Oreochromis niloticus: one gene and its partners. The protein of the gene in region 1 purifies or fractionates together with the protein of each later gene. This does not show direct contact. Links are inferred from orthologs where the notes say so. Each region holds a gene or a part of one and is shown in the gene's direction. Other genes may lie near its edges. The genes, in order: aar2, ecd, eapp and ttc27.

The links.
Region 2: the proteins of aar2 (region 1) and ecd purify together in Homo sapiens (affinity purification with mass spectrometry; 3 studies listed by BioGRID and IntAct, counting the BioPlex papers as one, with this or other methods). This does not show direct contact. The link is inferred for Oreochromis niloticus from reciprocal best matches to the Homo sapiens genes AAR2 and ECD.
Region 3: the proteins of aar2 (region 1) and eapp purify together in Homo sapiens (affinity purification with mass spectrometry; 4 studies listed by BioGRID and IntAct, counting the BioPlex papers as one, with this or other methods). This does not show direct contact. The link is inferred for Oreochromis niloticus from reciprocal best matches to the Homo sapiens genes AAR2 and EAPP.
Region 4: the proteins of aar2 (region 1) and ttc27 purify together in Homo sapiens (affinity purification with mass spectrometry; 3 studies listed by BioGRID and IntAct, with this or other methods). This does not show direct contact. The link is inferred for Oreochromis niloticus from reciprocal best matches to the Homo sapiens genes AAR2 and TTC27.

The regions. Positions count from the first base shown.
Region 1 is NC_031984.2:16,024,500-16,031,618, forward strand, and holds the start of aar2 (protein AAR2 homolog), read left to right. Parts: upstream 1-4,116; 5' UTR 4,117-4,437; coding exon 4,438-5,200; intron 5,201-5,282; coding exon 5,283-5,512; intron 5,513-6,446; coding exon 6,447-6,614; 3' UTR 6,615-7,119. UniProt on the Homo sapiens protein: Component of the U5 snRNP complex that is required for spliceosome assembly and for pre-mRNA splicing.
Region 2 is NC_031978.2:12,752,123-12,759,058, forward strand, and holds the start of ecd (protein ecdysoneless homolog), read left to right. Parts: upstream 1-3,919; 5' UTR 3,920-4,003; intron 4,004-4,594; coding exon of another isoform or gene 4,595-4,641; exon of another isoform or gene 4,642-5,147; intron 5,148-5,253; exon of another isoform or gene 5,254-5,575; intron 5,576-5,720; exon of another isoform or gene 5,721-5,739; 5' UTR 5,740-5,758; coding exon 5,759-5,963; intron 5,964-6,081; coding exon 6,082-6,199; intron 6,200-6,358; coding exon 6,359-6,446; intron 6,447-6,936. Other genes in the region: protein FAM149B1, read right to left, coding at 428-571, 743-891, 1,531-1,675, 2,344-2,460, 4,595-4,641. UniProt on the Homo sapiens protein: Regulator of p53/TP53 stability and function. Inhibits MDM2-mediated degradation of p53/TP53 possibly by cooperating in part with TXNIP. May be involved transcriptional regulation. In vitro has intrinsic transactivation activity enhanced by EP300.
Region 3 is NC_031983.2:4,398,491-4,406,040, forward strand, and holds the start of eapp (E2F-associated phosphoprotein), read left to right. Parts: upstream 1-4,530; 5' UTR 4,531-4,641; coding exon 4,642-4,721; intron 4,722-5,949; coding exon 5,950-6,128; intron 6,129-7,550. UniProt on the Homo sapiens protein: May play an important role in the fine-tuning of both major E2F1 activities, the regulation of the cell-cycle and the induction of apoptosis. Promotes S-phase entry, and inhibits p14(ARP) expression.
Region 4 is NC_031978.2:32,722,961-32,729,856, forward strand, and holds the start of ttc27 (tetratricopeptide repeat protein 27), read left to right. Parts: upstream 1-3,875; 5' UTR 3,876-4,121; coding exon 4,122-4,209; intron 4,210-6,896.

The DNA.
Region 1 (7,119 bases):
TATTAAATCAAAAATTATGCTTTATTGTTTTGATTTGTCTAGAATCAGTCTAGAGTTCAGTCTATGTGGTTGTTTCAATTGTGAAATAAATGCATATTTCAGGCATTTTATACAAGAACTATCTAAAAAGGGCGTTTTCACATTTACAGAATGTTTGAACTCAACACATTAAGGTGTTTTTATCTGTAGCTGTGTTTGTTAAAAACTTTACATTTTTGTGGAATTATATGTTTTATGTCTTCTCCAGATTTGGCTATATCTGTTTATAAACACATGACAGTGTATATAAACTCTTTCTCAAGGATTATATCATGATATGTTATGTAGCCATGATTTTTGTTGTTTCTACATATCTTTTTTGAAATGTGTTTAAAAATACTTTGCAGGCATCCAATAAACAGTTTATAAATAAAGTTTATTGCAAAATTCACTGTTTCTCCCAAACAAGTTGGTTTCTAAGACTTTTTTTTCTTGTGCTGTAAGTTAAATGTCAACTCAAACTCTGACTGCACACTTTGTTTGTGAGATGTGATTTCCCACACTTTCACTTCAAGAGTGACATTCATCCTCCCGAGCAGTTCCCATGCAGGGTCATAGTTTTGACTGCTCTCTCTGGTATTTAATTCCAGTTTTTTACGTTGTAGGCTGACTTTTTTTTTTTTTTTTTTGCTATCACAACAAGCTTTTAGAAAGTTTAAATCGGCGCTTTGGATAAATGCTGCGTCGTGTCTTTCCAACGAAACCGAAAGGATGGAGGCAAATGATTGATTGCAGAAGTTGTCCTTGACTTGATCGGACTGGAGTTTGGTGAAATCCTAAGCCCGGCGTCAGCAATCCATGACGGGGAAGGAAATAGGAGCAGCAGTCAGTTTGGTAATGTTGGAAGCCACGGAAAGCCACATCGGAAGTCTACCCGTCGCCGTATTAACGTCTCCGCCACAGGTAGTGCAAAAGTACTGAAGGGGAGCCAAAGAAAAAAAAAGTGAAAGTTTGGAGCTCACCATGAGCGAAGACGGTCACGACTAGAGATGGGTTTGCTCGTCTGAAGATCCTGCAGAAAAACATGATAAATGGTAAGCGCAGTTTGAACATCTGGTGCGTACTTACGCAGCAAATGAGCTGCTGCTGATGAAGCGTGCACACCGAGGTATATTATTGTGGCTATTTCGACTTTGGTCGAGATGTCAGGTGGCGCAAACAGCTGCAAACAGACAGATGCTTTTAACGCACTGTGCGCCTCAGTGGGAGCCAAATTGAGCGATGATTCATGGCCTGTTTTCCGTGGTTGCGTGTGAAGAGTTGTAACACTGCTCTCTTTTCATAGTGTCTGACTGGAACTCTGCTCCGTAGTGTCCTGGTGGCTGTCTTGTTGGCCTACTCCTGTGGGAAAAGTGGATGTAACTATAAAGAAATACTGGGCTCCTACAGAGAAGTCATCTCCGTTGAACTACAGAATCTGGTATGATAACAAAGTTTATCATAACTGCGGGATTAATTAACTGTGGTAGATTTTTAAAGATGATTGTGTTTTAAGACATCCCCACTAACTAAACTACTATTAAATGCTAGTTCACTGGAATCAGTTGCAGCTGTCATAAAGCTTGTGGAAACTGTGAGTTAATAACATGTGCTAGGCTGCCCTCCAGTGTTTGCTCTTCAAGTAAAGTTCTTTTCCCCCTCTCTCTTTTGGATCACAAGCCAAATAAATGTCTTAAATAACTTAACACTGGGCTGTTTCTTTTGCAGAATCTGGCTGTTTCAGCAAATAAATTTAAAGAGAGAGACCCTTGTCCCTCAGGAAAGGTAAGTGGCACTACATTATATGCACTTTCAGCACCATGGACAGGGTAAAAATAAGAACCTGCGTGGCACATGTTGTACATTTAAGTTTGGGTAAATACAGAAGAAGTTTTCAACCTTTGACTGACATGCTAGATGGGCTATTTCACCTTTTTAATTTTCTACACGTTTGGGCTGTTATCTCATGGCAGGCACGTCGCATCCTGGTTTCCATCTATGGTATGACACAGCAGATGCGGTGTCAGGGAAGTGGCAAAAAGCAGTCTGACCTGGTGAAGCCAGTTGAAAGCATGGAGCAGCTAATTGTGCAAAACTGCAGTCCCCAGTATTTGGTAAGATTACTTTAATGTGCTCTACTGAGCCCCCAGTACCACCACCACCAGCACCACACAGTGAGAAAACAAGCCAAATAGCTCTTGTGCTATTTTCTTTTTCCATGTTTTTCAGGGAAAGAATGCCTCTTGTTCAGCTGTCCAGAAAATACGAGGAAAGAAGAGAAAAAGGATGAGGTTAATCCGAGTTATCAAGGCGCTGATCACTTGCTGGCAAAAACTTCAAAGTGTCTCTGTGCTTTCAAAGTAGGAAATGTATCTCCCTGGTTCCTATAAGCCTGTGCTACTTTCTCATGAAGACATAAGGTGAATTTACACAGTGTTCCTTGCTACAGAATATTACATGTGACCAATCACTGACTGTATTTAGACAGCTATTTTTCAAAAGCAAAGTCATGAATGTTTACTGTTGTCAAGTTCTCAGTGTCTTGTGTATTAAAAGCTACACCAGCATCTGCATGTCAGCATTGCTACTTGTTTTATGGAATAGCTTTATAGTAAGCAAAGATAAGCTAAAGATCGATGCGTTCAGATACTTTTAGAACATTTTAAAAGTTTCTCCTGTTGTACAAACTCTTATGTTTTGTGTTTGCAAGCCACATGTCATCATACCCAAAAATGTTCTTATGTCGGTTATGTAGTTGAGTATATGCCACATAATAAAATTTGTACATGTTTGATTTATACTATTCTGAAGTGACCCTATGCGGTTATTGTAATAATGATAATTATTATTATTAGGGGTGCTATAGGTGTATCAGCTACAATAGACTTTTGTTGCAAGATATTATATAACCATCCTTTTTTCATTATTTTGATTAGGGAATGAATGTTAGTGTTACAAAATGTCATTCAATAAATATTGCACAATGTCTTTATTATAAAGAATGGAAACATATGGAAGCTTGTTTCTGTCAGTCAAGATTTTTTTTATTTTAATTTTATTTTTTTTGTTAGTCAAAATTTTCAGGTGTCTTGAAATTTTCTACTTATGAGAAATCACTCAATTCTAAAACATTTAGTCAGTAACTTGACGTTTTGAGAAAAAAGTTCTAACTTAGCCTCTAACTTTTTTTTTTCTGAGTGATGGAAACAAGCTTCCATAAAGAGGACACAAGAAAAAGCAAAATGTGAATAAAGCAGATATTAATACATGCTGGCGAAATCATTATATTTTAAATAAAGTCTAGCAACAAAAAAAAAAAAACAACCAACCAATGCGCTATTTATTTATCAGTGATCTGCTCTTAGCCACTTTGTTGTTATGGACAGGCTGATAGATGAGGTGAGGCAGGAGTCTCTGTGTACTGTGATGTTTGTAAACGACATTGTGATCTGTAGTGAGAGTAGTGAGCAGGGGGGTGAGACCCTGGAGAGGTGGAGGTTTGCACTGAAGAGGAATGAAAGTCAGAAGAAGCAAGACAGAATACATGTGTGTGACTGAGAGGGGGTAAAGGTGAGGATGCAAGGAGAAGAGGTAATGAAGGCGACAAATATAGGAGGTGGCAGAGAAAATGTTAAGATTTTCATTTGTGGTGACTAGGATGGACAAGATTAGAAATGAGTCTACTGGAGGGCCACCTTACGTTGAGTGGTTTGGAGACAAAGTTAGAAAGACAAGGCTGAGATGGACATGCGCAGATACAAGAAGGAAGAGGAAGGAAAGAGGAAGACCACAGAGATTCGTGGATGTAGCGAAGGAGAGCATGCCTAGGTTTGGTGAGACAGAGGACGATGCTGGGGGAAAGGGTGAGATGGAGGCAGATGTTCGCTATGGCGACACCTACAGGCAGCATGCAAAAGACGAAGTGCAAATATAGATAATATACAATAACTATACACATACACAAATCATATAATATATCTATATAGTTATTCTATTATACATAAACGCTTGATAACATTTTAAATATATTAATTAATGTAGTTATTTATAGAGGGGAAATTAAAAGTAGACGGACACAAATGTGTTTCATGGTACTGTTTCCGTCCGGAGCAAGAAATTTGTGGCACAACATCCACCATACGAACGACTCGAAACGTCAACAGCTGGATGTATGAAGTGTGGCTGTGAGAAAGGCTATTACACCGAAGATACTAACACAGTGTAGCTTTAAATGTTTTTGCCATATTTTTCAGTCATAGAGAATCGCATCTATTGAAAGCATTAGCGTCAAAGCAGCAGCGGCTCTCTGTGTTAGACCTTTTGGGGAAATCCGTTTGAGTGATCTGCATTTAACAGGTGAGAGCTGAGTTTAGTTATTTAATTTGTTAGTAGATTCACGTTAAGTACCCCTTAAAAGACATGGCCAGCAGCAGCAGTGGTAGTGTGGACATGGATCCAGATGTTGCCCTGAGGCTTTTCGAGGAGGGAGCTACCCTCGTGCTGCTGGGTGTTCCTCAGGGTACAGAGCTCGGAATCGACTGCAAGAGTTGGCAAGTGGGTCCTCGTTTCCGGGGTGTTAAAATGATCCCCCCTGGTCTGCACTTCCTCCACTACTGCTCGTCAGGCTATGGAGGACAAATTGGCCCGAAGACAGGCCTCTTCCTCTCTCTCAAACCCAGAGAGATCATACTGGCCAACTGGGACGCCAAGGAAGAAGATCTGGACTTCTCAGCCTCCAAGAATGAAGAGGAGTTGAGTCGGGTTCGTGCCAGCTTGCGAGAGCTGGATCCTTACCTGGGCCCCTATCCCTATGAGGTGATGAGGAAGTGGGTGTCCCTCACTGACCGTATCAGTGAGGAAATGGCCAAAAACTTGCAGCCTCTCTCAGGTCGGGTATGTGCATTCAGTGACGTGATTCCCGAGCTTCAGTTCACACACACTAAAGACAGGGCGGAGCAGCCGAGGAATGACACGGCCTGTCAGAGCATGAAAGAGGGGCTTGACAGGCTCCCCAAGATGAAACAGAGGGAGGGTACGGAGTTGCGCTTCTCTGTCATCCCTAAGAAGACCTACCCTCCCGGGGCTACGCCGGCTGAGATCACCAAGTGCAGCATGGACCTGAGCTACGCCCTGGAGACGGTGCTGGAGAAGAACCACATGCAGGAGGCTCTTAACGTGCTAGGTATGTATCACATTTGTTAAAAATGGGTTACTCTTGGATTCATTATGCAAGAAAAAGTACTGACATTTATCCCCTCTCTCAGGTGAGCTGCAGTTTGCCTTTGTGTGTTTTCTCTTTGGAAATGTGTACGAGGGCTTCGAGCACTGGAAGTGCCTCCTCGCTCTGCTGTGCCGCTCAGAGGAGTCCATTCTGAAGCGCAAGGACCTCTACCTGGGGCTCATCGCCGTGCTCTACCACCAGCTTGGAGAAATACCTCCTGATTTTTTTGTTGACATTGTATCTCAGAACAACTTCCTTACCTCCACGCTGCAGGTACATGCACAAATCAGACTATAGTGTTTGTCACTTGAGGCTTCTTTATATACAACTAAATAATATATATTCATCTCACTGGTGCAAAATTTATTTTAGATGTCCACCAAGATGTTGTGATATTAAAAAGTTGAAAAAATGTGTTGTGCAAACTAATCTTAAGTAATTTAGGTTCCATTAACCAGTATCACACTTTTCAACCACCAAGCCAGAAGATCAGGCTTTTACTTGCTCCTTGTGTGACTTTATTGGCCCACAAAAATGACAGTTTAATTTCAAGATTATGCTATAGGAACATATCATCATTTATTAGTAGATTCAAGCTTTGTATTCTGACTACATTGTGATCTGTGGACAGAATTAGAATAAATAAACAAATGGAAGTCAAAGCAGCTAAAAACATTGTTTTTCTTCGCATTCAGTCGATCATTTCAATCAGCTCTCTTCATGGGTAAATCGGTCATTGGAAACACCGTCACTGGTCCAAATGGGTCAGCAGCTGGGCTATCAACTTGCCCAGCAGAGTTTTCTGCTGGCCTTGGGCCATTGGCCTGTTGGTTATGTTGAACCCTGCATTTGTTCTACTTAAACCCCAGTGGGGATTAAAGTGCACAGCAAGCCCAGGTTAAAAAAATTATAAAGATAAGATATCTTTATAAAATTATAAAGATAATAATTCCCATGCAATGAGAAAGGGATGTTTTAATTGCCAATGCCTTGAATACCTTTCACAACACTATTTTTATTTGGCTGGTATCTGAGGACAGGTTATAAATCAATCCGTATAACATACGTTCATAATCCTGAATGATCTCCACGACACACAGAAATGTTTGCAAACAGAAAATGGGCCACAGTATCAAAGCATCACTTGAATTGAATCACATTTACAGTTACCACTTTATAAAATTGTTGAATTAATTTTTTGTCACAGGATTTTTTCCAGTTTGCCATTGGGCCTGGTGTAGATGCCACCCTGCGTAAGAGAGCAGAGAAATTCAAAGCCCACCTGACCAAGAAGTTCAGATGGGATTTCGATTCAGACTTGGACGACTGTGAACCTGTTGTGGTGGAGCTGCCTGAAGGTGTTACAGTCGACTGAAACTACTCAATGGACTCTGTGCTCACCGAGAAAAAGGAACACAGAAGGAGAGCCACAAAGTATCTTATGCTACAGTCACACTAGGGAAAACAGTGGGTGGAGACGACAGCACGGCCAAACATTTTTGCAACTGACTGATCTCATTGGCTTTAAAATAGTTGCTTTGAAGATGGCGACCAAGTCTGTGATCACTTGCAGACAGCCGCTATCTTTAAAGTGGCTTTGGTGATGGTGATAAAATGTCAATACACACAAATTCACATTATGTACTTATATTAGGAGTGCAACTATGGCCTCATAGATTTGAAGCATAAATTCAGACATTTCTGCACGAATGGTAACGCAGCTGCTGCAGGATGATGATTCCAGCTGCAGAGTCACATAAGCTTTTGGCAGCCTCACATTTAAATTAGCAGCTGGGAAACAGTTGCAGAGAGATGTAGTGAAGTCTGGTTCTGACTCAGAAGGATTGTGTTGCGTTGAATCTGTTTGTGTTTATGAATTA
Region 2 (6,936 bases), on another chromosome or scaffold:
TTTGAGCATACATAACTGCTGTAAACTGTTTCATAGTTAGTGTTAACAGAGTTTATTGACAGTAATGGCTGATAATTCTTGTCTCTGCTGTTTCAGAGTAAAAGCTGAAGACTGACTGATTAAGCAAAATGCAATGTCCATTTTAAGCGGCAGTGACAGGCTGTTCTCAGTAATGTTTGACATTCCTGAAATCTTCTTCAGCCAAGAATGATAAAAGCGATAACATATCAGCCATAATTATGTGGACACAAATCAAACATAACAGCCTAAGATGCTATCGAAACTGCACCCTCCAAGATAACGTTAGATCAGATGGTGAGATACCACTCACACACGCAGAGATATCTTCGTATATCTGAGAGAGATGCAACAAGTGATCTCTAACCTTATGTATCGACTCAGTGCAGATTGGGACTTTGAGACTTACTCTGTTCCTTCCCTATCTTTCTCCTGGGGTTTCACACCGCTTTCTTTGCCCGCTGACGGCCTGCTGGAAGCGCTGCCTTTCCCTGAGGTAGTATACCACTGGAAGCCTTCATCACTGGGACACAGCAGCTGAGTCCCCAGGATACTGAGTGACACACACAATGAATATGTAAAACAAGTGTGATTCTGTAGAAGAATGGAACACTTTAACAGGTTTTTCTCCACAATCAGAATTAGTCTTTGATCCCACTGCTGCCCCATTTCGTTGAGAATTTAAAAAGGGCTGGCTGCTGATAGGAGACAGCGAATTAGATACCGAAGATGAGGGAAACGTGTGGCCCACTGCTGACATTCATCCTGGAGCCCCTGGAGTATCCCTCCCCCACTGCCTCTTCCCTCATAAAGATCTTTGTCGATCTCCTCAAACATTTGCTGCACCTGCCGTGATGCTGCCTTGTCAAACTCCTATGGGATGGAAACAGGAACATAGGAAAGAGAGTTATTCTTCACGACTAAAGGTGCCGCCTTTTACTTACTGGCAACATATCACTATTCAATGCAAGCATCAACGTGCATGATAATTAGCTCCTAGTCTCTTGAGGTGCATTCAAGTGTTTGTGGTCAAGTTGTTCATGTCATTAAAAAAAAGATCAAAGCGGAGAAAGATGTATATTTAAGAGAATGTCTCTTAACTGAGAGGGTTTGCTTCTCAGAAGCAACTTGAGAACAAAAAAACTAAATAAATCATTGAGTCCGAAAAAGTTTTGTAGAAACAGCAGGGTCGAGAAAGCACGACATAACAACAAACCAGAAAGCAGAATCAGAGTTTGTGTGTACAAACAAAGCATCCACTATACTATATAAATATTGTGTTCATCTGTCTTCTTCTAAATGTTTCCACAAATTTGTGAAAAAGAGGCAAATGTTAGCAACTAAATGAAAATCTAACATAGGACTGCAGCAATGTGTTTGTGTCTATAATAAGACAACAGAAAAAAAATGAAAAACAACATATCTAGTGTTTTAGTGTGCACAGTGTGTACATCCTTTGTTTTACAGACAGAGTCAGGCTGGCATCAATAGTTTTCTCATGAGCAGACTTACATCGTAGCCCCAGGAGAAAACAGAGCTCCTCTCGGTGGAGATGCCAGTACCCGTGGAGCTGTGAATACCTAACCAGGACTGGCTGGAGTCTACTGAGATGACAGTGGGGCACTGAGAGTGGCCTGAGGCAGCAGATGTCTCTGAGCTAAGCACAAAGACAAAACAGTTATGTACCCTGGCTGTAAAAACAACGTGAAGAACCAAATTCCCATATATGAAGTGTCTTGTATTTCTAGCACTCGTTCTTTCTTTTCAGCACACGATTTCTCTTTTCATCAGTTTTTCTTGTACTAGAAGAAATGGAAGAACCAACAACTTGTGTAATCTGAAGAATAAGCCGAGTCTCTGTTACTCCGCTGAGGGAATCGAACTGGTGTCAGCTGCTGATATTATCAAGGTGGAAAGTGAAGGCCAAATGTCAAGGCAATTGAATATTCTAACAGGCTGCCTCATATTTTATTCTTTTAACTGCGCATCTGAAGGAGGCAATGTGATATGAATTAATCCGCTGCTTCTGGGTGTCACATAGCAAGAGCCCTGAGAATCAGTTGTCTGCTCAAGATGGTGTAACATTACAAAATACACAAGCATGAGAATGTGTGTATGTGTGACTGGTTGCAGGCTGTTTTATTTCAGCCTTATTCTGGTGTTGCTTAGGTTTGTCTGCTTACATAACAGCCAAGAAGCAAGGCTTGACTGCTCTGCAGTCATTTTGTAACATACTCTAGGCACTTATTTGAGCACAGAGTTTCTTAAGTACCACTGTCTTTGTTCTCACACAGATTTCAATACAATACTGTAACAAGCTGTTACCTGTTGTGTGCAGAAGCAGCTTCCTGCAGGTCATGGAGGTAGCTCGGAGGGGTTTGGTTGTCGTCTGCTTCTTCTGGGAGAGGATGGTGGTCAAGGCTGCTTCGAGACAACCCACGACTGCAATAAAGACAGATTTAGAGCATTCAGTGAAAAAGCAATCAACAAAAGAGTGTGCAATTGCATTTTGGGATGCTAGGGAAGGATATTAATATGTCAACTCCAACTACCCTGTCTGAATCTGAACACTGTGTTGAAATAGAATAGAAAAAACTATGGGTGCGACTAAGGTGTGCAAAAGCTCCATCACCATGAGTCTTATTAAAATTATTTTTGCAATGAGCAACTGTCAGAGAAACACAGCCTTTATAAAAGGGAATGATAAGGTCAGAGCAGATTACGATGGATCTAAAGAAATCAGATGTAGAGTCCCTATTATAGTCACTGATGAACTTATGGCACATACACAGTGCTGTGAAAACTATTTGCCACCCTTCCTGATAGCTGATTCAGATCACCAGTCAAATGTTAAGATTATACAAAAATAACTCTGGTAAATACAAAATGCAGTTTTTAAATGGATGGATGGGTGAGTGGGTGAAGAAAATAATTGCCCCTAAACCTAATAACTGGCTGTGCCACCCCTGGCAGCAAGAACTGCAATTTAGAGTTTGTGTTTGCGATAACAGGCAATGCTTAAAATTCACTAGGGAAGAATTTTGGCCCACTCATCTGTGTAGAATTGTCATAACTCAGCCACACTGGTGGTTTTTTGAGCATGAAAGGTCATGCCAAAGCATCTCAATCAGATTTAAGTTCAGACTTTGACTAGGGCACTGTAAAACCTTAATTTGTCACCTCCATTCAGAATGCATTTGCTGGTGTGTTTCGAATTATAGTTCTGCTGCATAACCCAACTGTGCTTGAGCTTCAGTGCACGTACTGATAGCCAGACAATCTTCTGCAGGATTTCTGGTAGTGAGCAGAATTCATATTTCCATCAATTATGCTTCATCTAGGTCCTGAGAAGCAAAGCAGCCCCAGACCATCACACTACCACCACTATGTTTGAATGTTGCTGGCAGTTTTTTTTATGAAATGCTGAGTTAGTTTTACACCAGATAAAACAGGACATAAACCTTGTACAACGTTCAACTTTTGTCTCATCAGTCCAAAGATTTTTTTCCCACAAGTCTTCATGAAGGGATCACCAAGATGTTTTCTGGCAAACGAGACGAGCCTTCGTTTCTTTCTGGTCAGCAGTGGTTTTTGCCATTGACCTCTCCCGTGGATGCCATTTTTGCCCAGTTTCTTTTTTTTGTTGTTGTTGTTGAATGATGAACACTGATATTAACTGAGACATACGAGGCCTGCAGTTTTCCAAAAGCCTTAGTAATGGCTTTGTCACCATTTCCAGAATAAAAAAATTCAGTGAATTTGTTTCTCAGCTGTTTTTGAGTTTATGTAGATTGTAGCTCAGTGTGTTGCTTTTTGAGATCCTTTGAGATCTTTTCACCCACTTACTTAAATTATTTCTTAATTCAACAGGTCTGGCAGTAATCAAGCCTGGGTGTGTCTAGTGAAATTGAACACAGCTTTCCAAACAATGTGGTTAATTTATGGCATAACAAGGGAGGGTAAAGACTTTTTCACACAGGAGCAGGTAGGTTTGGATAGGTTTTTCCCCCCCAAATAAATGAAATCATTTAAAAACTGCATTTCGCGTTTAGTTGAAATATTTTTGTTTAATATTTACTCATATATTTGTCTATTTTTTTCGCTGCACTGTAATATGACAAGATGACATGAAGAAAACAGACACCAGTGAAAACAGCTGGAGATTATGTGTTTTTTAAACATTACACTGTGATTACACTTGATTCCATAGTATCTTCCCATAGTGTTGGTTTTGTATCTCTAATTGAGTTAATCTCGTTAAATAAATGTCTACATTTCATTCTTATGGCTTGACAACTTTCTCTGGAGAGAAAATAAATAGAGTGGGTGGTATGAAATAAAAATGTGACAATCATCTAAAATGAGCTGATTGCCATGTTCACACTGCATCTGTCTAAAACAGACCCCGGGCAAGCTGGAATAACACCACATCGATCAACACAAATAATCATTTTTACTCTTTCTGTCACTAGTGTAGGTTAGCAGTCAATCATCAAATCCCCCTCCAATGAATAATAGCAGCATTCAATAACCGTTAGGGAAGGAAAAAAAGAAAGAAATGATGTCAGCTACTCACATCTCGAGTTTGTGCGATACAGGTCTCCGGTTGTATCGTGAAATCATTCTCCTTTGCCTCCGTATTATATGCTCAAACCCTCTCCTCTCCTCCTCGCCTCCACTTCCAGGACGCTCAGGGAACGGTTCAGATGGAGCTCTGACATTTCCTCTAATATTAGCCCGCAGATATTCTGGATAGAGAGGCTGTTCCTTAACGGCTGCAGCTAAGCTACGTCCAAAAAAATAAGCTAGCTACTGGTACAAGGGTGGCCAAATTATTTTTAGAAAAAAAGAAAAAGGCACAAATAGCATCGTACAATTTCCACATTCCCTCATAAAATAATTCTTGGTTTACTAAATGAGCATATTATGTAGCCCAGAAGTTCACTATAATTTACGTTTCTCTCTCTCTCTCTCTCTCTCCCTATATATATATATATATATATAAAGGAATATATATATTTTTTAATGAGTGTTTAACGTTATTGGAGCTATCGCCAGCGCATAGGATATTCTTTGCTAAAGCTAGCATCACCACCAACAACAAAAATACAGCGGCTGTCATGGATACGCAGCTTCGTTGCCCCGAGGGATCGTGGGAAATGTATTTCAGGCCAACTAAATGTTTCTTGAAAGTCAAAGGCTGCATACTTCAATTCCCAGCATTCATTGCAATAGCATGTTGCGTTTATAAAATGTATTCGCCGGTCCTGTAATTTTAACTAAATGCAAGGTGTATATTTATCAAATTTAGTGGAAAATTAGACTTATTATGTAATGTGCGTTTATCACAATGTAAAGTATTTTTTGAATCGGTAAAAACAAAAACAGAAGGTAGGAACTTTGTTTATTATCTGTTTGGCGAGGACGACTGGAATTCATCGTAGGACCTAAATAGTTACAGATGGCGTGAAAGAACGTATTTATGAATAACCGTAATAAGAGCCGCTACAGAATATACTAACACAACATAGCCAATTTAAAAGGAAGACAAGACAAGGTAAGGCCAAATTAAGTTTTCAAGAGGTTGTCGTGACAATCACTAGTAATACGTTGAGTTTATCTAGAAGCCAACGATTCCCTCAAAGTCATAATATAAAAACAGACATTGACGACCTTTCATATGTCTTTGCACATCGCTTTAGCGTCGTATCTTTTTGTTAGGTCTTTTAAAACTGCTACTATGGAGGCTCTGCAGAGGAGAATGATTGAGGAGGACATGGTCCAGTACAAGCTCTTCTTGATCCAGCCAAGCAGCTCTTCTTCACAGAAGACTGAGGAACGTCTGACACATCTAGTAGAGGAGATTTTGGCAAAGGTTGCCCCTCTTCTGATACAGTACATCTGGCAGCATCAGCCATTCAACCTCAAGTATCACCCTGAGAAAGGTAGAACCTTTTCAGCACCCCAGAAAGGAAGCAGTTTAGATATGCACATTGTTTGTCTTTACGTGGTTAACACTTGGTACACACACTAATGGCTGGTGTGTATGGATCTCATTCACAGGTGGCATTCCTGCTCACATTGGTGGAAGCACTCAGTTTGGAGACAATGTTGAGGACGAGTGGTTTATCGTTTATCTCCTGCTGCAAATCACAGAGGCTTTCCCTGAGCTTGCAGCAAGGTAATAGTGATCCTGCTCATAGTTTCTAAATATTTATAAACTCAGAGCAGAGTTTGCACAAAATAATAAAACAAAGGTATCAATAAATAAATAAACACTATTGAAATGCTCACCAGTCATTTATGTCTTTGTTTCCAAAATAATTGTTTATATGTGCAGAGTTGAGGATAATGATGGGGAGTTTCTCCTGATTGAAGCAGCAGATTACCTTCCTAAGTGGCTGAATCCAGACACAAGTGAAAACAGGGTGAGTTTTCCACATGACATGGCAGAGTTGACAGTACTGGAAGCACTGTATGTTTCAGCCCAAATAATTCACTGCCTCCCACAGCATACTATGGAGTTATAAACTGATCCCCAGGCAAGCTTTGGTTTCATTTCAGACCTCCCTACTGATACGTTGAAATGCGATTCACAACACAAGGGCTGTATGTCAAAATATTTTTCATTTTAAATAAAAAAAACAGGAATGTTAACTTTACTTATTACTTAAAATGGTTGTCTGTAAAGACTTTCTCATCGGTCAGCTGTCAGAGCTTAAAGAAAAAGGCTTATTCCATAATAAATGACTGGCAAGAGCCCTCCAGCCATTAAGGGCATCTACCTCCAGCTGTACCTGCATAAGGCCCACGGCATTATCAAGGATCACAGCCATCCAGCACACCAACTAATCTGCTTGTTTTCCATTAAAGAACAGTCTTTATTATCAACCAAGTGTTTGGTCAAGTGTTAGTCTC
Region 3 (7,550 bases), on another chromosome or scaffold:
CAAGAGGATGGATGGATGGATGAATTTGTGTGTATCCTCCTTCCTAATAGCACCTCATGGTGTCTGCCTTCATCAGCACATCTGTCCTGAGCTTCTGAAACAACATGTCTGATCTTTTGGCTCCACCTAGTGGCGGCTCATCCCTACTTCCAAAAGCACTAGCACAATATAAATAAAGACAGAATGATCTGTAAATCTTACAAATCCATATTTTATTGACAATTCAAATTTTACTATTTAGAAAAAAAAATCAATTCATTTTCAGCTCAAACAAAAATGTTAGGCAAGAGCAGGAATAGGTTGGAAAAGTAAGTGGCACTACAAACAAACGGCTGAGGGAACATTTTACTGCCATTTATGTTAAATAACAACAGGTCAGTAACATGGTTGGGTATAAAAGAAGGATCTTAGAGAGGCGGGGGTTTTTTGGAAGTACAGACTGGCAGAGTTTCACTCTTCTGCAAAAAAAAAAGAAAAAGAATGTCAACAAATTATGGAAAAACTTCAGAATAATTCTCTCCAACGAAAAACACTTTGAATATCTCTTAAAGTGCATTATATCATCAAAAGATTCTGATGTGCAGAAATCTGTGTGCAAGGGACAAGGTCAACACTGGGTGATTTTGGGGCTCTCACGTGGCATTAAAAACATGCATGATTCTGTCACTGAAATCACAGATCACCACGCCATCCATAAATACAGGATGAAACTCTTCTGAAATGTTATCATGGAATATTTCACCAATACTTACCAAAGCTTTAATGGACAACATCAAAACAGAGAAGAGACAGGTGTTGAGAGATCTTCCAGTATGTCCTTTGACCACAAAAGATGGTGCACTACATGCCAGCATCACCATCAAAACCTGGCTCCTGAGAATCACCTCCAGTATCAGTGATGCAGTCAACTTTCATGGCTTTCTTACATGAAAAACTCTTGAAATGACAATTTCAACCAATGAAACTAACTGTTAATAATTTATTTCCTCACCTGGAAAAAAAATTGTTTGAGTGCACAAATGTTCTAAGGTAATATACAGTGATGTGAAGAAGTTTTTAGTTTTTGTGTATTTGTCACACTTGTTTCTGATCATCAAATAAATTGTAATATTAGACAAAGATAAAACGCAGTAAATGCAAACTGCAGTTTTGAAATGATGATTTCAGTTATTAAGGAAAAAACATATCCAAGCCTGTGTGAAAAAGTAATTACCACCTAAACAGAATAACTGGTTGTGCCACCCTTGGCAGCGAGAACTGCAATCAGACATTTGTGATAACTGGCAATGAGTCTTTCACAAAGCTGTAGAGGAATTTTGGCCCACTCTTTTTTCCAGAATTGTTCTACTTCAGCCACATTGAAGGGTTTTCTGTTTAAGGTCATAAAACTGTTCCGAGTTTGATTGGGCCTCTCCAAACCCTTTTTTTCAGAGGTGAAGCTGCTGGTGTGTTTCAGATCATTGTGCTGCTACATGACCTGAGTGTGCTTGAGCTTCAAGGCACAAGCTAGTGGCTAGCTATTTTCCTTCAGGATTTTGTGGCAGAGAGCAGAATTCATGGTTGGTCATGGTCATGAATTGTCCAGGTCATCCAACAGCAAAGCAGTCTCACACCAATTACTTGTTGACCACAGGGCTGGGTACATTTGGATGGCTTTTTGTATTTTCTGAATGAATAAAATCATTTAAAAACTGAATATTGTGTTTACATTTTTATTTTTATTAAACCTTTATTTATACAGGTAGACCCATTAAGACTCAATGTGTCATTTAGAAGCGAGACCTGTTCCAGACAAACATATTAAACTTACAACAATAACAGAAACAATAAAATAGCTAAACTTGTCTAATGTACACAGTCATATCAAAGGCAGACAAGTTCCCAGTGATGATTTCACAAAAACATTTATACGTCTTTTAAAGTCTGCAAGTGAAATCAGTTGAGAGAGCTTCAAATCCTTCTGTAATGTTTTCCATGAACACGGGGCAGAAAAGAAGAATACCTTCTTTCCAAGCTCTGTGTGAACTGATAGAACAGTGAATGTAATGACGTCCTGAGACCACAGTCTATGAATAAACTGTTTGCATAACATGTACTCTGATAAATAACAGGGCAATAAACCAGAAACAGACTTATAGATAAAGTGATACCAATGAACCGTCCTGCGTAAGGCCAATGGGGATCAGTCAACAAGAGAATATAAAGTACAGTGGCGTGTTAAAGGTTTACAGCCAATTATAATTTTTAATGCCACATGATAGACAGAATCCAACAGATGAAGAGAGTGAGCACGGGCATTCGTGTAAATTGTATCACCGTAATCCAGGAGGGGTAAAAAAAGTGCCAGCAACAAGTCTTTTCCTTGCTGTGAAAGACAAACATGATGTGTTTCTGAAAAAGAACCCCAACTTCAGCCTCAGCTTCTTTATTAGGTGGTCAATGTGTGGCTTAAAGGAAAGATTTTTATCAGACACAATACCTAGATATTTGTATGAGGCCATAGTTCCAATGGAAATGCCTTGAGCAGATACAAGAAAAGAAAGTACTGCCATCACCCTCCTTCTGTTTGAGACTTCTGTTTGACTTTGCTTTTTTCTGCATTTAAAACCAGTCTGAGCTGACTCAACTGTGACTGAATACTATCAAGAACTAGCTGTAATTGTTTGAAAACCATGTCGATGGTACGAGAACAATAATAAAGAACTCATCTGCATAAAAATGCATAGATTCTTTTATTGCGTGCAAGGCTTCATAGACGTCACTGAAAACTTTTTGGGAAGCAGTTACAGTACTTTGCAGTTTCCTAAGACCAGACTGGAAAGGAGATAAAATTCTGTTTTCATTCAGATAACTTTTAAGCTTTTTATTTACTAGCCTTTTAAGAATCTTAGCTAAGATACAGAGTTTGGAAATTGGCTTGTAATTATTAACCGTTGAAGAATCCCCGCTTTTCAGTAGGGGGAGTACAAAGGCATGCATCCACATCTCTGGTAAAGTGTTCTGTTGTTTAGAAAGATTCAAAATATAAGACACTGGCTCAGCTATGATATTTGCAGCTAGAAGCAAGAAGAAAGGAGACAGATTGTCAAGACCGGCGTTTTTGGTGTCAAGGCATTTCAAAGCCTTACATCCCTCTTCTACCATAAAGAGTGTAAAGGGAAAAGTATTAGTAAACAATGAACTACAAGCAGAGTTATATATGTATGTGCTAAACAGAACAAGAGGCAACAAAGTGTTCATAACAACAATTGAGAGTTTTGGTTTTGTCTGACACAGGAGTGGAGTTGATAATTAGGTGAGGAGGTAGCTCTGTGGCAGAGAGAGACTTTATAGTTTGCCAAAACCTCACCTCCTAGGGTAATTTAGACTGTCAGTGGTTAAAGTCAAAAAGTAGCCACAGTTGGCCTTTTTGATGGAAGCAGTAAACCATAAACGCAGTAAACGCAACTGATGAAAACATAGCCAATCACCATCAGAATCTGACTTTCTCACAGCTGCCCAGGCTTGGTTTCTCTCATGTTGGAGACCAGCCACTTCAGAATTGAACCAGGGGCTCCCCCGACCTTTAACTCTGACCTGGCAAAAGGGAGCATGTTTGTCCACAAAGCAGATAAAACTCTCCTGGAAATATTTCCGAGCTAAATCAACATTGTCAATCAATGTAATATGACACCAGTTAAAACTGAATAAGTTGTGAAGAAACAAATTTCTTTTTGTGATGTTGCGGGGCTTGGAGTGTGAGATTTTTGCGTTTCCCACAGCACCAGCTATGCCTGCTTAATGGGGTTGGAACCATCAGTCATCTGTCAGTGCGCCCCAGGGTGGCTGTGGCTACAATGTAGCTTGCCATCACCAGTGTGTGAATGTGTGTGTGAATGGGTGGATGACTGGATATGTAAAGCGCTTTGGGGTCCTTAGGGACTGTTAAGGCGCTATATAAATACAGGCCATTTACCATTTACCATGTTGTGCAGAAGTCAGATTGGCACACAGGTGACAACCCTATTCCATATTATGACAAGAACCAATCACCTAAGTAAAGAGAAATGACAGTCAATCATTACTTTCAGAACTGAAGTACAGTCAGTCTGGAAAAGAGAGTTCCAGTAGCAGACAAATCTGTGCTAATCAGGCCTTTATGGTCAAATAGCTGCTAAGAAACCACTACTAAGGAAAAGCAACAAACAGAAGAGATTTGTTTGGAGCTAGGAAAAACAAGCAATGGGCATTAGACCAGTAGAAATTTGTGCTTTTTTCTGATGAGCGCAAATTTGAGATGCTTCCATCTTTGTGCGACGCAGAAAAGGTGAACGGATGGTCTCTATAAGCATGGAGGAGGAGGTGTGATAGTGTGGGGGTGCTTTGCTGGCGACTCTATATAAAACTTTATAACATAAAAAAGTTTTAAAGAGACTGAAGGGAAGTTTTCCCCCCTTTTTTCTCCTTTTGTTATATTCCTCCCTAAGCGCCTGTCCCACACTCCAGCCCAGTTGACGGCGGTAATGGACTTTAGTACCGCTTACCAACCCCTTATTAAACACAAAAGAAGAAGAAGCGGAAGCGGAAGAAGCAACTTGGCGTGTTGTTGCTAACTTATCAGCACCTCATGCTATTGTAATTGAAGCTCCTCAAACATTTAAAATGAATAAGCTGGGTCAAGCACAAGACTTTGAGTCATATGAGATCGAAGAGCCGAGCGACGAAGAGCGGGCCGCCAGCAGGTGCGAGGATAATACGTGTGTTTATTTTTAGGGGCCGATTAGGCTAAAGTGGAGATAGCTAGCTGGGAGCTAACATGTAAACAAACTGGAATAGCAGGGAGACTGCGCTGAGCCGCTCTTTGCGGTGAATTTATTTTAACGTGACATGGATGTTACTGCTTAATTATCATTAATTATGATTATGATGCTCAGGATTTTCTATGAGTCTGTTGTGGCCAGTGCAATCCTCTATGCTGTTGCATGCTGGGGGAGCAGGCTGAGGGTCGCAGATGCCAACAGACTCGATAAACTGATTCGTAAGGCCAGTATTGTTGTGGGGATGGAGCTGGACTCCCTCAAGGTGGTGTCGGAGAGGCGGATGTTGTCCAAGATAAAGACAATGTTGGATAACACCTCCCACCCACTCCATGACATGCTGGTCAGTCACAGGAGCACGTTCAGTGGGGGACTGAGATTACCGAAAAGCACCACTGAACGACACAGGAAATCATTCCTGCCTGTGGCCATCTCCCTGTACAACTCCTCCACTTAACACACTGTTTACTGCAACAGCTACACCCTTCTTGCACATGTTCTTTTCAGCTATTCTTAGTTGGTGTATTGTCTGTCTTTGTTAGTGTTTGTTTATAATGGAGCACTGTAACGAAAAATAATTTCCCCTAGGGATCAATAAAGTATTCTGATTCTGATTATAGAAAGGCGGCAGATTTTTATAAGTCTAAATGTTACAGGCAAGCGGATGAGAAGAAAATAAAAACACGAGTGCAGATACTTATTATTGCCGTAATTAGCCAAGAATTTTCTGGATTTATTATTATGGCACTTAATTAGAGAAAATTAAGCAAGACGTCATAATTATTAATATTTATAAGTGATGTCCTGAGACGTCTTGATGTGTCCAATCAGAAGTCCAAAACTTCAAAAGAACTTGTCTACCTGAAGATATGAAATTTCATTATTAAAGCAGCAAATATGTATGTACCGATGGATTTAGTGAGTACAGGCAACTTATTTTGGTTTTGAGCTAAGCTTAAAGCGACAGTTTCGACGTGGATTAATGGTTTCCAAAATTAAGTGCTTAATTATTTGGTCTGTTAAACACTATACGATGCCACCACATGATATAATGTCACATGTGCAGAATAACACATGAATGGTTACTTCAATTTAGTAATCTCCTGGGTTTGAGAGTCTGTTTTTTTTTCTGAAATCTTTCTCTCTGTTTTAGTTCGGAGGATGAGTTGGACGTGCTCCTGAACGGGACTCCGGACCAGAAAAAGAAGCTGATCAGAGAGTATCTAACCGGGGAGAGCGAGTCATCCAGCGAGGATGATTTTGAAAAAGAGATGGAGGCAGAGCTCAGCTCCACCATCAAGACCATGCAGGGAACCTGGGTACCAGCAGCAGGTAACACTCAGCTGCTAGTATTTGTATTTTCATAGTGATATGTCTGGAATTACTTTGCTATCAACTGATTAGATGGCAGTAGAGCTGGGCGATATAAGATTTTTTTCATATCACGATATGTTTTTTTCATTTCAGGCGATAACGATATATTTCACGATATAAGCCAAATAACTATATTTGTAAGATTTAAATGTGCCGTTGCTCACAAGTAAAATGTGAAATAATTAGCAGCTTGTTTTAATTAAAATATTTATTTCCCATAATAAGTTTAACAGGGCAGATGTACTTAAGGAACATGAGACTTCAGTTTCAGATAAATAAAGGCAAATATTGCAAACTACACAAAACGCAGCCGCTAAAGCATTTAAGTTTCAAAATAGAACAAACAAAACAGACTACTAAATTGTCAATTCCACTTAGAAACAAAATATTAATTCTAAAAATAAATCTTAGGTTGTTTTACAGAAGAACAGACAAAATTGACTAACTTTTGTCAATATCAAATAAACTGAGAACTAAAAGAAAATTCTCAATCTCTCCTTGTTGTATAGCTTAGCTTTTCAAACAGTTTTAACAGTTACTTTAGTCTGACAAAAGCCGAATGACGAATTAGCGCTTTCAGTCAGAGATTGAGCATGCACCGCTTTATTGTATTTCCAGACTTGCTTTCGGCACAATTTACAGTGCGCGCTACTCTGTTTTTTGTCAGACTTGAAATAGCCGAAATACCTTCACACTACGGAACTTCTGTGGCCCTTCCGTTCGACAAGCTCTCCGGCATTGGAACCATCATCTGTTTTTTCTTTGGTAACCTTCGCTCACGCTCTCGGTTGATTTTTCTCTAGTCGGCAAACTCATTTCCTTCATTACCTGGGCTGCACGGCTGCAAAAACAAATACACATGTGCGCCTTGGCGCTTGTGCTGTACGTAACAAGTCACGTGACGTGACGCTGCGGCTGTGATTGGTTCGGCTCTGCGCTACTTAATTTGGATTGGCTGTTGTTTTTTTGTTTTTTTTAAGAGGACAAGAGAGATGAGGCCTATCGCAATAGTTTAATTTTTCTATCGAGAAAAAGTTATTTCGCAATACATATCGTTATCGTTTTATCGCCCAGCTCTAGATGGCAGCTATAGCCAAAAGCTGTGTGTTAAGCTTAATCTTAGCTAATTCTAGTCATTGAATGAGCTGACAGTGTTTGTGATGTTGTTGTTTGGAGCATTTTTAATGAAAATATGTTAAAATAATCACCTGTGTGTCTGTGAAGGTTCTCAGTAATCCAGGTCATCGTAGTCTAAGGAGCTTGGAAAGAAAAGCATCTGGTCTTCTTTAAGTTGCTTGAAGACTTTTCACTTCTCATCCAAGAAGCTTCTTCAGTTCTAGTGAAGTTCCTAGTTTTTCACTTTTACAATTTTATACTGTA
Region 4 (6,896 bases), on another chromosome or scaffold:
GTACTCAGAGCTTGTTCTTGTGCTGCCATGATTAGTGCCTCTGTGCTGTCTTTCAGTCCTGCTTTGTCCAGCCACTGGTAGGATTTCTGGATATCAGCCACCTCCTCTATCTGCCGGTGGTACATACCGTGCAGGGGCCTGTCCTTCCATGATGGTTCCTCGCCTTCCTCCTCTTTCTTGGGTTTCTGCTGCCTGAGGTATTCACTGAGCACGCTGTCAGTTGGGGCCATCTTCGTGATGTATTCGTGGATGTTTCTTGTCTCATCCTGGACTGTGGTGCTGACACTCACCAGTCCCCGGCCCCCTTCCTTCCGCTTAGCGTACAGCCTCAGGGTGCTGGACTTGGGGTAAAACCCTCCATGCATGGTAAGGAGCTTTATATATATATATATATATATATATATATATATATATATATGTACATTTATACACACACACACACACACACACACACACAGATGCTGTTACGTATTTAAAATACAAAATATGAGTAACTGTATTCCGTTACAGTTACCGTTTTAAAAGGTGGTATTCAGAATACAGTTACTTTGTTGAAATGAATGGATTACACGGCGGTATTTTTCTGTTTCATAAGGCTATGAATTCTATATTTTTGGTGTCCACGCCGGTGGAAACCCAAACAAAACACGCATTAAGAGGCTCTCATGTCTGTGTCTCAATCTCGCGGCCCATGTCACCGCTACTTGCGGCCCACATAACAACGTGAAGAAATATTTTGAAAAATTATTCACAAAAATGATTTAATATGAAGGCAATAGGCAGAGTGTTACAGGCATAGTCCTAAAGAATGTAGCCTCATGGGCAGTGTAGTCCGTGCTGCAGGGAGAATGGACTGCCATACCCGTTATGTGTCTGTGAGCGTCAGGGAGGGAGAAAAAGAGAAACGGGAGATGGAAGCATGTAAATATATAATATACATATATATATATATATATATATATATATATATACAAAGTTGACCCAAAGTAAAGCTAGTTTTCGGCTACGAGAGGTCTCTTTACGGTTTTATGCCTTTACGGTTCGGAGCCGCGGACTTGTTTTATATTCGCGCGGAATAGTTTTCTATATGAGATCGCTGCAAAAAGTGCAGCTTACCTATTGTCCACCTTACTGTTACTCATTTTATATTAAGATTTAAAAATCTAGTTGGTATTGCTATGGTGAGTAACCTTCAGTAAAAGTAATAAATCACACAGCAATAGTACATTCATGTAGTTGTAAAAAGCATAATAATATATTAAGTAATCCAAAGTATTCAGAATACGTTACTCTCATTGAGTAACGTAACGGAATACGTTACAAAATACATTTTGGGGCATGTATTCTGTAATCTGTAGTGGAATACATTTTAAAAGTATCCTTCCCAACACTGTCTATCTGCACAGGTAGGACAGCACACATATTTACATTTTTATTAAAAAATAAAATTATAATTAAAAACACATTTTTCTCCTTATTTTCTGGCACCAGTGTGACATCCTTTATAGACTATACTTTTATTTTTATTTTTAAAAAAGTATTGCGATGATTTGTTGTGGAATATTGTGAGTTGAGTTATTGGACAACTCTGTTGTTTGATAACTTAGTAAAGAATTCATTTAATCTAAACAATTTATTCTCGTTTCTTTAGTTGAATACACGTAAATGCCAAGACAAGACAGTTTGACAGGTACAAAATAGAATTTTTTGCAGTGTTTTTTGTATTCATGCATCTGTAACACCTGATGTATAACATTTAATTTCACCATAATAACATCTAATACGCAAAGATGAAATATAATTATTTTTGATATTTCCAAATTATGATGTTTACAATATCAGTCTTATATTACTAAATTGACACTTAACTACTTGACACATTAACTTATGAAGTCAAGTTTACTGTATTTATGGACTATCAAAGTTTAATGTCGGCTAAATCTACTCAAGTAACGGGATTTCAAGCCAGGTGAATTAGTTGAGCCTACAAATTCACCTTTTTTCAGAATGTCATTTTCTGCGTTTTTGTCAGTTGCATATCATTTACGTGTATAGGTAAAAAGTAAGTATCTCTGAAAAAACCCCCCAACAACCCCAGACCAATGTTCCCTCTAAGCTGCGCACGTGCGCAATTGCGCACTACTGGCACGGTCTCTGCGCACAGAAAATCTGCGTTGCGCACAAAAAAAAAAAAAAAAAATCTAACCTGAATTGAAATTAAAATTAATACTTTAACAATTCTGTTTTGCAGTGTTAGTCAGTGAGTGACTGGCTGCTCCCGTATGGGATTAGAACGATGCCACCTTATCCCATAGTCTAGCCAATAATGCGATTCACATTCGTATATACGCAGCTAATCAACGTCGTTGACAGGCTATGACAGCGTCCTTATGTGCCGCCACCGGTGTTTTAGCTAGCAAAGCGGCATGGCTGATGTGGAGTGAAGCCACGTTAATGACAACGTGTACTGGAGATGTGTATTGGAGATGTGAGCAGGACAGACGGAACAATTGACGGAAAAAGTGTGGACTTTATACCAGTTTTGATTTTGTGTTGATAGGCCACGTAAAGCCAGAGTTATGATAAAAATATATGCAATGTTTGGTTTTCTTCCTGATTACTATTGTTGTTTATATTTACTGCGGGAAGAAACGGTAAAAACAACGTTTTATAAGGAAAACGCTCGAAAGCACTCTCCGCCTGTGAGCAAAAACAAAACCAAAAAACCCCCCACCCTTTTCTATTGGTCGAAAAAAGTACCATGTCGACCAATCAAAAAATGATATGGCAACGTGGCATCTAGTTGTTAAGAAACGGGGGGAAGTTTTAGGAGTGACGGCGGTGTTCTGAGATGTGAGAGATTTGAGACGTTTAGCGCAAATCTTGTGTAGTTAGTGTGTAGTTAGTGTGTAGTATAGTCAATAGTTTTGTGTGTGTCAGAACAATGAGGCGACTGCTGAATGTTACAGGTTTTACAGGAGTGATACATCTCCTGTTGTCAGGCCTGCAGGTATCAGGCTGTTGTTCTCCTTTATCTCATAGTGGACAGAAATTATTTTTTGGAGTGGCACAAATAATCTGTGTGGCATCAAATTTAATGTAAATTGTTGAGTATTGCAGCATCGACAGCGATCAACTCGAAGGAAAATGACGACGGAGGCAAAAATGACCTTAATAGTTTGGGAACTTTATTCCACAAAAACACGCGGCAAAACTTTCCTCATGGGTGCCATTTTTGTTGTGGTATAGTTTTTCTTCTTAGGGGCGTGATGACGCAGCATACGTGCCCTTACAATGAAACAGTGCCTCCTTGTGGTGACAACTAAAATACTCTCTCTCTGTTAAAGTAACCATAATGCAGCTAAACATACTGTACAACATGAGTACACACAATAAATATCTTAACATAAATAGTTTGAAATGTTTGTTTAAAAGCGCATTGGCTGCATTAAAAAAAAAAAATAGCTGGAAAAAACTTTGCAGCTACCAGACCACATACTCATAATACAAGTCAGAGCTATATATATATATATATATATATATATATATATATATATATAAGTTAAAAAGTTCAAGTTATTTTTACTTCCAATAGTGTTAACATACTGCACAGGTCAATGACTAGATTTTTTTACATTTTCATTGTAAGTGGGCTAAAGCAGTTAATTAAAAGTAGTCAGTGTAATAAATGTAAATGCTGTAGTGATTATTTTAATAAACCATGTAACTTGGACTCGATGCTGGCGTGACCACAGTGCACATGTCTGATGTCGCTCACAGTGGTCCAGGGGATCGCTCAGGGAGTTTGTGTGTTCACTCAGACACATTAAAAATTAGAGGGAACATTGCCCCAGACTCCCCCACCTCCCCGGGCCATGTGAAGACTGGAAATGCTCAGCATCTCTGTGCACGCCTTGATTAGTTTTCCCACAATGCAACGCGGATCTGTCATGGCTGCTCACTGATGTCGCTTGCTCCACATGGCCAGAAATAAACATTTTTATCACTGACTGAGACGCTCCGAATCGGTTCGTTAGTACAGCGCTTTATAGCTGGCTTTTATCTGGGACCGTCCTGACTGAAGGCAGCTTGACTTTGGCAAGAACCAAATCCGTTCAGTCATGCTGAACGTGGAGATCGCAACACTCCGAGGGTTTTTAACGGCCAGTGAAGCAGCGGAATGGAAGCAGAACATTTTCAGTACTGCAGGTGAGACTGTCGGTTGATTCTGCTCCTTTATTCACCACGTAGCTATTGACACTGTCATAAGGAGGTTAGTTTTGTCTCAGGTTCTCAATGCTGTCAGGTTGTGCTTGCCTGCCAAGCGAAGTAGCATTTAAAATATAGAAGCATTTGACAGTAACAGCGATGGTCTAAGTGTAACCTTTAACGATATTGACAGGACTTCCTGTGTTGTCTTAATAAAAGTGTTGAGTGCTAGAGCCGCAGTCTAAATGAGTTCATGTTCATTTAATGCCTGCTAAGCAAACTTAGCTACGGTACGTGTCATTCGCGCTCGGGTGGATGTCATACCAAATCCCATGTATTTTTTGGCTGTAATAACTTGCATTGCTTGTGGGCAGAGGTAGCTATTTCGTCTTGTAATATTGTATAGCGATTTAAAATTTAGTATGTAACCAAGCTATTCGGCGTTAATCTTATACTGGGATTGATTTTCAGTAAATGATGAAGTCGATTTAAAAGAAATTAAACATTAGCTAACGTTAGCTTTAGTTCGCCCAATTGTCCCAATGTTCGCTGGAGACGTAGCTGGACGGAAATTAGATGGTAATGTTGAAAAGCTATGAACTAAAGCTAGCGTGGTTGTTTTTTTTCCTGGTAGGGTTTATCATTAGAGTCTGGCATGACGTCTTCTTTCTGTACACCTGCGTCCAGTCGACTCGAGCCGCATCTGTCAGCTGCGTTTAGAACCCTGAAACTAATCCACAACTGCCAGAAAGCCCCAGTGATAGACATCCTTTATTAAACAGTGCTGTCTGTTTAACTAGGTCTCTCTTTGTTACCAGCAGGCTTTAAATGGCCAGACTGCGAGATTCCTGTTAGATAACCGTCTCTAGTGTGACTTCAGTACGGTTGGTTCCTAGACCACGTCTTATTTCTGCCGCAGCAATTGACAGTGCATTAGCATTTAATTAAACTGGAGTGATTTGTCAATGGAGATATGAAAGAAACTTAAGGTAGGGACGAATATTGCAGTCTTAAAGCACAATATTCAACAACTATCTGTAAATCTATTATCCAGTTCCTGGAAGACCTTTTCTTATAAGAATAAAAGATCCTTTCACTGTCAGTTTAAAGGTAACATGATAGTCATTTTTTTTTCTGTTGAAAGAAAATGGCCAGACTGAAAGATTTAGGAAAGCATTAGGTTTGGACTGCATAGCAATAGTCAGACTTTGCCCCAGATGCTCTGTTGTACTGGAAGGCTGAGGCTGTGGAATAAAGCAGCCTAAAACAATGAAGGAAACGAGAGATGGCTCTTTATTACAGGGTCCCACTGTAGCCAGGTAAGCACTTAGTGACCTGTAGCTCATTTGATTTTGGTGTGACACGTTCTCGATGTTGAAAATGAAATAGATATGTCTTTAAATTGGACACAGCTCACAGTGAGTGAAACCACTGTTGTTCTCGGGCTGTAAATGGTTCGCTGCGCTCTGCTGAGGTGCTCTATGTGCCAGGATGTGTGCAGGCATCGTCCGTCTCTCTGACACCCACACTGTCTTCTTATGGGCTTTGTTGGTTGAGTGGCATGGTTAAGTGCTGTGATCTTTTGCGACATCCCGAAACAGTCGTATTGGTTTCTGTTTTATCCCTGAAAGAGAGATTTTGTTTCTCTCCCTTTAATGTCATTAGACACCTTTTCTTCATAGCTGGCTCTAGAGTTTTTGTAGTGTGCTGCATCTAAGGTGCCCTACAGTACAAAGAATGAAAAGTCCTCTGTACACCATTGCATCTGCTTGCTTACATATGCAGTTTATTTGGGGGGGGTTTCACACAAAAAAACATAGATGGAAAATCAGTAAATGTAGCTGAAAAACTGTACATCAGTGTCGCAAATTTGTTTGTCATGATCTTTATATGTTATCCAGGTATGAATACAAAAAAACTGTTTCCTTCCTGCACTGTCATTGCGAGATGTGTTCAGACTGTTGGTAAGAAAAGTCAGTCAATGGTTTCATGCCAAGTGATGAATGCACATTTGAAGATGTAATTAATTTGCACTGCTCTCTCTTTTTTATTTGATGCACTTCATTTGATGTACGTACTTGTACAGATGGACTTGTTAAAAGTTTGTACCTAAAAACTTGTTTTTCCTTAAGTTTTTGTATCAGATCGAGAGGTCTTGCTGCTTACAGTCTATAAATAGAAGTTAATGATAAGTTTAATATTTCACTGATCCACTGTTTTATTGTACAGGTATTCATTTTGTTTACCTAACAGTTTTTTTGTACTCTTACCTAAAGTTTAACTGCCACTCTTTGATACTCTAAATTGAAACTGCACACTTTTATTAAACAACAACATTATCAGTTATGTCTAGTGCAGGGGTCGGCAACCCTAGGCACGCGTGCGGAAGGGTTAACTGATGGCACGCACGACCATAGCTGGACTGGCCATCGGGCATACCGGGCATTTGCTCAGTGGCCCGATGATTTTTATTTTTTTTATTTTATTTTTTTGGTGGTGGACTGGCCAGACGCTGGTCGGTGTGTAAAAATAACTCAGTTGTTTGGTGTTGGCCATGGCGTAGCTTCCACAGATTCAGTAAAATTAACAAGTGGTGGAGGCCAGCAGGTGGATGAGGGAAGGGGAGGCAGGAGGAGAGACCCGAGGCAGCCGCCGGTCGGAGCGTCAGGTGAACTAAACTTCAGGTA